Linked DNA regions of Neodiprion lecontei. The protein of the gene in region 1 binds, or shares a complex with, the protein of each later gene. Links are inferred from orthologs where the notes say so. Each region holds a gene or a part of one and is shown in the gene's direction. Other genes may lie near its edges.

What was found.
Region 2: gem-associated protein 5-like (region 1) and gem-associated protein 2 share a complex: the UniProt entries of both Homo sapiens proteins name them as parts of the SMN-Sm complex. The link is inferred for Neodiprion lecontei from reciprocal best matches to the Homo sapiens genes GEMIN5 and GEMIN2.

The regions. Positions count from the first base shown.
Region 1 is NC_060265.1:3,239,834-3,244,834, reverse strand, and holds the start of gem-associated protein 5-like, read left to right. Parts: upstream 1-2,007; 5' UTR 2,008-2,039; coding exon 2,040-2,045; intron 2,046-2,766; coding exon of another isoform or gene 2,767-2,953; intron 2,954-3,073; coding exon of another isoform or gene 3,074-3,195; intron 3,196-3,635; coding exon of another isoform or gene 3,636-3,743; intron 3,744-4,703; coding exon of another isoform or gene 4,704-4,787; intron 4,788-4,923; coding exon of another isoform or gene 4,924-5,001. Other genes in the region: uncharacterized protein LOC107220650, read right to left, coding at 1,865-2,007, 2,767-2,953, 3,074-3,195, 3,636-3,743, 4,704-4,787, 4,924-5,001. UniProt on the Homo sapiens protein: The SMN complex catalyzes the assembly of small nuclear ribonucleoproteins (snRNPs), the building blocks of the spliceosome, and thereby plays an important role in the splicing of cellular pre-mRNAs.
Region 2 is NC_060263.1:39,236,319-39,240,082, reverse strand, and holds gem-associated protein 2, read left to right. Parts: upstream 1-1,821; 5' UTR 1,822-1,969; coding exon 1,970-2,076; intron 2,077-2,153; coding exon 2,154-2,238; intron 2,239-2,317; coding exon 2,318-2,476; intron 2,477-2,538; coding exon 2,539-2,805; intron 2,806-2,886; coding exon 2,887-2,979; 3' UTR 2,980-3,071; downstream 3,072-3,764. Other genes in the region: probable cyclin-dependent serine/threonine-protein kinase DDB_G0292550, read left to right, coding at 1-594, 688-991; ubiquitin-like protein 4A, read right to left, coding at 3,565-3,764. UniProt on the Homo sapiens protein: The SMN complex catalyzes the assembly of small nuclear ribonucleoproteins (snRNPs), the building blocks of the spliceosome, and thereby plays an important role in the splicing of cellular pre-mRNAs.

The DNA.
Region 1 (5,001 bases):
TTTCAAATTGACCAACAAAATCCGATTCTCGCAAAACACAAGATTTAAAAAGTTCAAAAACGTAATTGCATAACAATTCGAGAGGTAAACTGTCGTTCAAAACTTCTAATATCAATCGATTCCAGTTTTTGCAAACTCGTCGTGTACATAGCAGTAAATTATGAAGAAATCGCGAATAGCGTATTACAAATAATAAACGCAGCGTGCGTTTTGATACTTCCAACAGTTTTCTTTGTTTTTCTTTCCGAAACCGTGTACCTACAGTATGCACGCGTACCATATCTGTGTACTTAAAATGACTGTCAGTTATACTATTTTCATTTTTCAAGTATTCCTCTCATTTGGAAAATTATCGTTATCATTTATAATTCAAGTTAACAGGTATATCCCGGTTGGAAAAGTGGATTTAAAAAAAAATCAACTTGTAATCTCGCCACTAAAAAGTATACATCTATCCACTTAGGATATACGATGTATGAGGGAATACTTTGAGTTCGGTTTAAAAATTAAATGAACAATTTTCCAAATGAGTGAAATAGTCAAAAAACGAAAATATAACTGAACAGCGTTTTTGAGTACCACATTGAGGAAAGAAAGATATGCGAGTATACAATGGCTCAAAACCAGCTACATTACGTTTACTAGTGGTACAAAATACGAGGTGAATATCAAGATCAGTAATGATTATTTACAATATAACAAATGTACAATACGCTGCAAACCGTTGCAATCAAAGCCAAGCCTACTGCAAATTCATACGGTATCGTGATACGTTCCCCACTCGGTGATATTGGTACAGGATTCTATATAAATTTACAGTAGGAAAACCACTGATCCACGTCCACGTAATACTGATGAACCCCTCTCTCAGTTACTGAATAGTTGTCGGATGATACGTGCCCGCATACGCAATGACATAATACATAGGATCATAAGTAAACTGCAAAGCTCGCATGCCATGTACCGCGAACGCATATACATATGTATATTTAGCCGAGCGAAGCTGCAGGGAGCGTGAAAAGTGAATGCCATCGTGCCGAATCTATGTCCGTAAGATGATCAAGTGTAGAAGAGACATGTGGTTATACTTTCAGGGGTCCAAAAAGTTCTCGACCTTGATCTATATCGCTTCTAACGACCAGCTGATTGCGAGTGGTGAGCCGTAGGCGTTCACCGAGGTTACGTCTCAGCAACGCTGGATGAATCTCGATTTCCGACGGGACCATGGGGATTTTATACGGAGGGCATCTCCTTTCCCTCTTGCAAGTAAGAACATGTGTCGGCATTTTTTTTTTTGCAAAGCTCTTACAAACGTGTCTGGACGTATCTGTATTGTACACCCGGTATATGTATATACATTATGTATGCACATGTGCGTGTGGCTCCTCACAGTCACACAAGCTGCGATGGCAATACTTGTAGGAGCCAACACGCTGCTGGATTAGTCTGCAGTTGGTAAAAATATGACTTTCAACTGGATAATTGATAGAGATAATAAACAGGTTTAGGATTGGAAAATCTCTTGCAGCTTTCTGGACTAAGGACGCGTCCCCAGACTTTCGGAGTTGGGATCGGTAAGGAATTATTAGGCACAATTTCGTACGCGGTTTCACTTGTTAGACGAGAGCCATACGTTGAGACTGAATAGGTGGAAATAAACGGAAGCAATTGGAGTGAGCTACACGCGACTGATCGTTCAGGCAGGTATGTACGTAGGAAATGAACGCAAGATTCACTACATTACAGTGCACTGTTTTTTGCAACCTTCGCATCACACGTAGTATGCAGTTTATACTATAGCACTCCTACATCGCAGATTCAGATGCCGCGTATGGTGCGATATATACGTCTGTAATGGACTCACTTTGTAGAGAGGTCGTGGTTAATGAAGCCCGTGTTAATGCCTCGAAGAATATCGCAAACTGGCGTCGAGTCAGGTTCGAGTACATCAACTCGAGTCGCGGGATCTGTCGTACTGGCGTTGGTACTGACGACCTTGTGCGAGACCTGGAAACAATATACCTCGGATAAATGCCGTCATGATTGTGAGTACTATCTACCAAAGATGTATACAAGAGACTGCGACGATTCAAACGGAAGAATAGGCGTATGGTATATAGATTCGAGAATACATTTCCACTTGTATCCACGGATAAGGAGCGACGCAATGTAACTTGGCTGCGCAGATGAGATAAATACGGTGCACAGAAAAGGTCGCCCATTTGTCATGAAAATTTCACTTGAGAGCATACCCAAAGCCCCCCCCTCCCCCCTTCAACGGCCATTCTTTTGCTGATTGTAAGACGAAAAATAGTGAGATCCGCATGGTTTTAAGCCCAAATGATTTATCAAATTTCTTTCACGATTTGACTATAGCGATAATGAGTAGGTACACTGTTTGGAAGGTATATGCGCATTAGGTCGAAATCGATTGAACTGATACAAAAAAATTTGTCAGGTGTCAAGCGTGAATTTTTCGGCAATCCAAGGCAGGCTCAACTACCTATAAACCAGATTCCAAGCCGGTTTAACAAACTGTGAGAACTTTTCCGAGGCAGAACAGTAATCACAGTTTCGTTGCTCAAAGAGTACTCAGTGAGATAGGCCGTGGCGTCACCTTGTTTTTTATACCGTGAATTCCTACCTATATGCCCCCATCTACTTTGTCCGCCCTCCCCACCGAAGCCGAGTTCGCACGCCGATAACCCGTATACTACTAGAAATCTACTGAGGTTATCTGCATGCCTCAAACAAAACCGTACTAACCACAATAGAAAATATTGACAGCGTACGACGTATTTCGGATTCTAACATTCGCAACAGCTCCTCGACGCTAGAACGACACTCTTTGTTTCCATCTGCATCTATTTCTCCAAACACAAACGAAGGGTTCCGAGCAGGTACCGTTTTTGCTTTCACCTTGTTACACGCCACTTGAACTCTGGCCAGAACTCTATGGATTGATAAATAAACACTGATTCAATTCGTGATTAGAAGGAACATCAATTCTTGGATTATACCATGTCAAGTTTTCTAACAATTTGATTTCCTTTTAAATACGTATATTTTTCACCTTTCCAGCTGTTTCACAGCTTCGCGTATAACGCTGTAGTATTCGGTGATGCACTGGTCTTCCATTTTTTCGTCCAGTGTTTCGATTTTATTCGTCAGACTGATGTCCGGATCTTCGAGTCCCTGTAACAAGATCGAGGTAGTAATATTACCTATATAGTTCATGGAAGCGGTTACGTGGCGTTGTTGATAGCTACGTGCATATACATCTGTAAATTGATAATATGTATAACGACAAATTACACTAAACGTGTATTTGCGGACCTTATGCAGGGACTATGAATTATCTACATTTAAAATGCATGTATACAGGGTCATTTATTAAATATACTGGATGCCCGATCCTCGAATGCAAGAGAGCAGCTTACGCATGCTTCGCAATCAGGTGAAATCGGCTAGCTGCTGCGACTGACGCACTAGCGGCCATTATTCAATAAACGATTCTATGCAGAGTTGCCGAACGTGAATCCCACGTAACACTGTATATATATATATTGAGCATAGTACGTATAGACGTGTATATTACAGTTATAGTGAATTATCAGATCACAGCTGTCACTTACCGAAGCTTTCATTTCATCGCACAGAGACCGCGGGATTATTTTTCCCGAATAGTGTGACGTATCCAAGTCGAAGCTTAGCTCATTTTTAAAGACTGGTCTTGCGGATGACTGAAAAGAATGGATGTTAACACCCCAATAAACATGAAAATTTTTCTCCGTATGGATCACCAATTGGGCCTTTATGTTGAAGAAATACATTTTTTGTACGTATACCTATTTAAGTATAAAGCGGAGAAACACTAGGTTCCTATAAGACCAAAAATAACAAGGGAAAAATTTGAGTGTATCTTATTTTTTGGATTCAAAACAGCCTTTCCGATGGAAATAAAAATATACGATTTATTGTGTTACAAACTTCAGTGAAAAACAACTCATTTCTCAATTAAACACTTTTTTATCAGACCTACCAGATCCAAGATGTATGAATTATTCAAGAAAAAAAAATTCTTTCTCAAACGATTGAAAAAAATCACGTAGACTACGCTCAACTACAGTACCAAATGTGGTCAATTATTTTTCGCGTCTCTGTGTTTAGGTCATTTAAAAAAATTTAATTTTTACAAAACGTAAAATTTCAGTTACTACATAGCTACCCCGTACAAACTAATCCAAATTAATAGCAAGTCCCCAGACAGGTCAGGGTAAACGGCTGATTGCGAGCCGTAATCTATTTTCGGAAAAACTATCGCGATAATCAACTGCGGACGGGTCACCCGCAACGTTAATTAAACAAGTCGTCATTGACCTTCAGTTAATCCAGCGTGCGCGTGGTACGATTGAAAACCATCCGAGACGATTTGAAGTGATTTGAAATGAAAAAACATCGGTATGAAAGGCATGTCGTTTACATTTTCGGTATTTCTTATTTTTTCAACTTTGCAGAAATCATCGTACCTTTATACCAATATATTAAATTAAAATGTACCTGGGAAAAGCGCCTCAATATGGCAAGTCCTACTTTATTGAAAACAAATTTATCAGGTATAAACTTGTATCTTGGATGAAAAAAACATTTTTGGCAAAAAATCAATGAAGTATCTGATCTTCCATTAAGAAATTGATACTCACCGGTTCGCTATGGGACATATCATCTCGGTGTGTTTGCAGCTCGGAAACTCGGGTCTCCAACTCTTTCACGATAGTTTTCAGTTGCTGAAACAGTTGTGTAGACTTTGTTGAACGATAAAAACAAAAAAAATTAAACCTAACCACCATGAAGCATAATATGATAAATTACTTTTCAACTATTTCCGACATGGGTGTGCAATCAAGGAGTTAAATTAATTACCTCGATAGTCCTCGTAGAAACTTGGTTTTCATCTTTAAGTTGACAGTTAGCTAAGTCCATCTGTGAAATATGCTCTTT
Region 2 (3,764 bases), on another chromosome or scaffold:
CGGCGGTACCACGTTCCAGACTTCGACTTTCGCGTCAACCTCCTACGACGACTACTCGGTCACCCCGAGAACCAGCGAGCCCCAGATTGCGAACAAAGTTCAGACCACCAGACAGCAAGATTTTACTCAAACCACTCAGAGATTCGCAAACAGCTTTGCGGGTAGCAGCTACATCCCGACGACCTACAGTCCGGTTACCAAGAAACAAGCGACCATCGGTAATGGCAACACCCAAAGCCAGGTGATCAATCGAGGGAACGATCAGTACACCGGGCAGTACGAGAGCGCCAGAACAACGAACAGCGGCCAGTACCGCGAAAGGAACACTCAGCAGACCGAGCAGACCTACGACACCTCGAGGTCCAACGATAACAGCGGACAGTACAATCGCGAGGTGGCTACGAAAGCCCCGAAGAAGGTTGCTACGCAGTACAACAACTATGAATCTAAGACGAATTTCGACGGAAGCACCAAGAGCTTCGACAACTTCGACCAGGGCGGAAGAACGGCTTCCGTCAACGGATTCAGTCCCGCTAGTGTCAACAAGCTCGCAGAGAGTCCCGTCACCGTGAGAGCGACGACTCCCGTTCCGAGGTAGGTGATTTTTCTCATTGAAAGTGCTTGGATTGAAGGAATAGGTGTTTATATGTTTATCACTAATGTCTAACTTGTGATGATCTGTTATAGAAGGACTGTCTACAATAACCCAACAACTCAGAGGCCGTCGTCGGCTGCAGCGACCAATTACGCGTCGCAAACGACGCCGAATTCAAGAACTGGAAATTTCGTCAGTGCGACACCAAGGCCGTTCACATCCACGACAAGGACTGTCGATCGGCGTCAAGAATCTACCACGGTAAAATCGAAGTCGGAAAAGAAGAACGACTACGATTACGCTTACTACGACAATGCTGGAGCTTTGGAATACGACGGTATTGATCTGGAACAAGTTGGCGGCTCAAGAGACACCGCGAAAGTAACAAGAAATTGAAATTCATTATACGGGTTATATTATACTTGCGGGAAAAAATAGTTAGACGCAGATTTTTCAATCCATGATATACAGTCTTATTCGATCTATTCGTACGTATGGAGATTCATACGTATGTATTTGAGATTGCCAATTGCCAAACTGAGCGATTTTTATGATAAATATTTTTTGTCCAGATATCATATCTGTCGATTAATACAATACAATACGCAATCAATGATCTGCTGTACTTACAATTAAGATATTTTTGTTATGTATGTACGTCTAGTACGCTACGTACGATAAATATGTTATATGTATTATGTCGATCCACCTAAAATTAATTTGAATTTCAAGAATATTATTAAATATGGTTTTTTTATCAGTATTTTTAGCTTAGTATACGCCTGCGCCGATCGAACTGTGTCCCGACAAACATACAATAACAAATTTTTCACACACATTCTTTTGTAAATAGGTCGCTACTACGGCTACCGAGTGTACATATTTTATGTATTTTAATAAAAAAGAAAAACAAAAAAAAAAAATAACAGTAGGTATAGAGATCCATATGCTCACCAAAAGTTGTAAGGTTCAGATCACCCGGTGATGTCTACATTCGTAGAGTAATGAATAAATCGTGACGATAAGAAGAATCATTCATCGTGGTGGAAAGAATGTATCATGATCATTTACGACTAATAAACTTTGATTACCGTTTTATATAGGTAGACAGTTTTAAATTTCCCGGGGTTTCCGTCACGCGTTTGTCCAATTTTGCCGCCACTACGATTGTACCCGTTGCCATGGCAACAAGAGCTTGCAAAATGATATCGAGTTTCTGGTCTTCCTGCATGTGACCACCGATAATACGTCGAAGGATGACGGAATTCACGTTATTCAAACGTAATTTAACCTAGGAAAAACATGTCAACAATGCGAAATTCTTAGCACGCGTTGCGACGAAATTTTTTTTAACCATATACCTCGCCTCGAAAGATGGGGGATATTTTGAGAGAGCCTGCTTTATTTGTGGGCGAAATTGACGCGGAATTCGACCTTATGCTACCTCCATCCTCAGGAGAGGAATACATCAAGCGTGTGGTGTCGGTATTCCTGTCCCATCTTTCAATACGCTAATTTTCCCTCTAAACAATTCACTGCAATTGCAAAATATTTCTAGAATTGAGGCGCAGCAGTGCGACGACGTGGTTGTGGCAGAGAATATAAAAGCTCGTATTAGGACTCCCATGGTGGCGGTAAAGCCTGTAAGTCAATGAAACAAAACAAGCAGGCAAAAGCAATCATTTGTACGATGTGTGAAATGAGTAATAAACAATTGCTCAGCTAGCAGGATGTGTCGAGGCTCCAGCTTCGATGGTTCCGACTCTGGACTGGCAGCAGTGTCAACTAGCAGACTTTTCTTCTGTGAGACTAGAGATCGACCGGATTAAACACAATTTACAAAATGCTGAGGGTCGCCGCAGGCTTCGACAAACTGTTCTGGTAAGATTTAATTTCTGATCACATCTGATTTCAGAATACACTTATCCTTGTGCAAATTACAGCCTGACGCAGATGATCAGGTTGGCTGGCTGGAGTACATCTGCAACATGAGACCGTTGCTTGGACTAGTATTAAACATGAACCAGCCGCTGATCGAACAAGTCTTGGAACATCTCGTCGAAGCAGTAGAAGAAAAGGGCCTGATCTCGCAACCATACGGAGGCTGGATTTATGCCCTACTAGCTACCCTCGAGTTACCTTTAAATCCAGACACGTGTTCCTGCTTACGCTCGCTTGCTAGAACATGTTCGATAATCAGAGCTAGCATGGTAAAATACATTTTGAAAACAGAGTGGCAAATGTTTCGAGAGGTAAATTTTTTATGGATAATATTTGTAATTTATTTTTAGACAGAGGAGAACGCTAAAGATGTCACAGCTTTGAATTTATTTATCTGCCTGGTCGCCAGATATTTCAGACAAATGGATTTGGTGGACTTGTAATTTGTGATTAAAGAACGACATAATTGTGAAATTGGGGATCAATGAAATTTGTAACTACTGATTGAAATAAATATAGATTAATTTTAACGTAACAAGTTTTGTTTTATTATTATCATTATCTTGCACTTAGTTAACAGCTAAACATGATGGATGAATGTCAATTCAAGCGAGCGATCATTGAAGAGGCTACATTACATCTCTTGAATATTAGAAATTACATATGCTTAAAATATTCCTTAGGTCAACTCAATGAATTATTCACGAATGGAATTTCGTTGAACATTGCTGTTAAATATTGTGCAAATCAATCGTCTCAGCCACTTGTGGGTTTGCCATTTTGTGAAATGAGAGGGAAATTAATGCGTAAAACGGACGAATGTATAGAAAATTTGTTGTAAATAATTAATTAAAAAAGAGTGCAAAGAATTAATTTGTAAAAGTGAGCAGTACAAGAAAACATCATTCACTTTTCAAAAAGCACGGAAAACCTTACAATTAAAAATTTTCTAGATGCAGAGTTTTATTAAAAATTAACAAACGAATGATTGAAGGTATTCTGCAGAAAAAAATCCAAGGAAAATTTCTTCAAGTGGTACTTTCTTGATCCTGAAGCAGAGCCGTTGCTAATCTTTCCAAGTCGTCATAGCTCAAGCCGTCTACTTTCTTTTTTAAGTCTTTCATAAACTCATTAATTATCGACTGTGTTTCAGATTCTGTATAATAATGCCTCAAGACTCTTGACATCTCGCTTCTGAATAATTGGATGCCAGTATCACCTTGAGCAC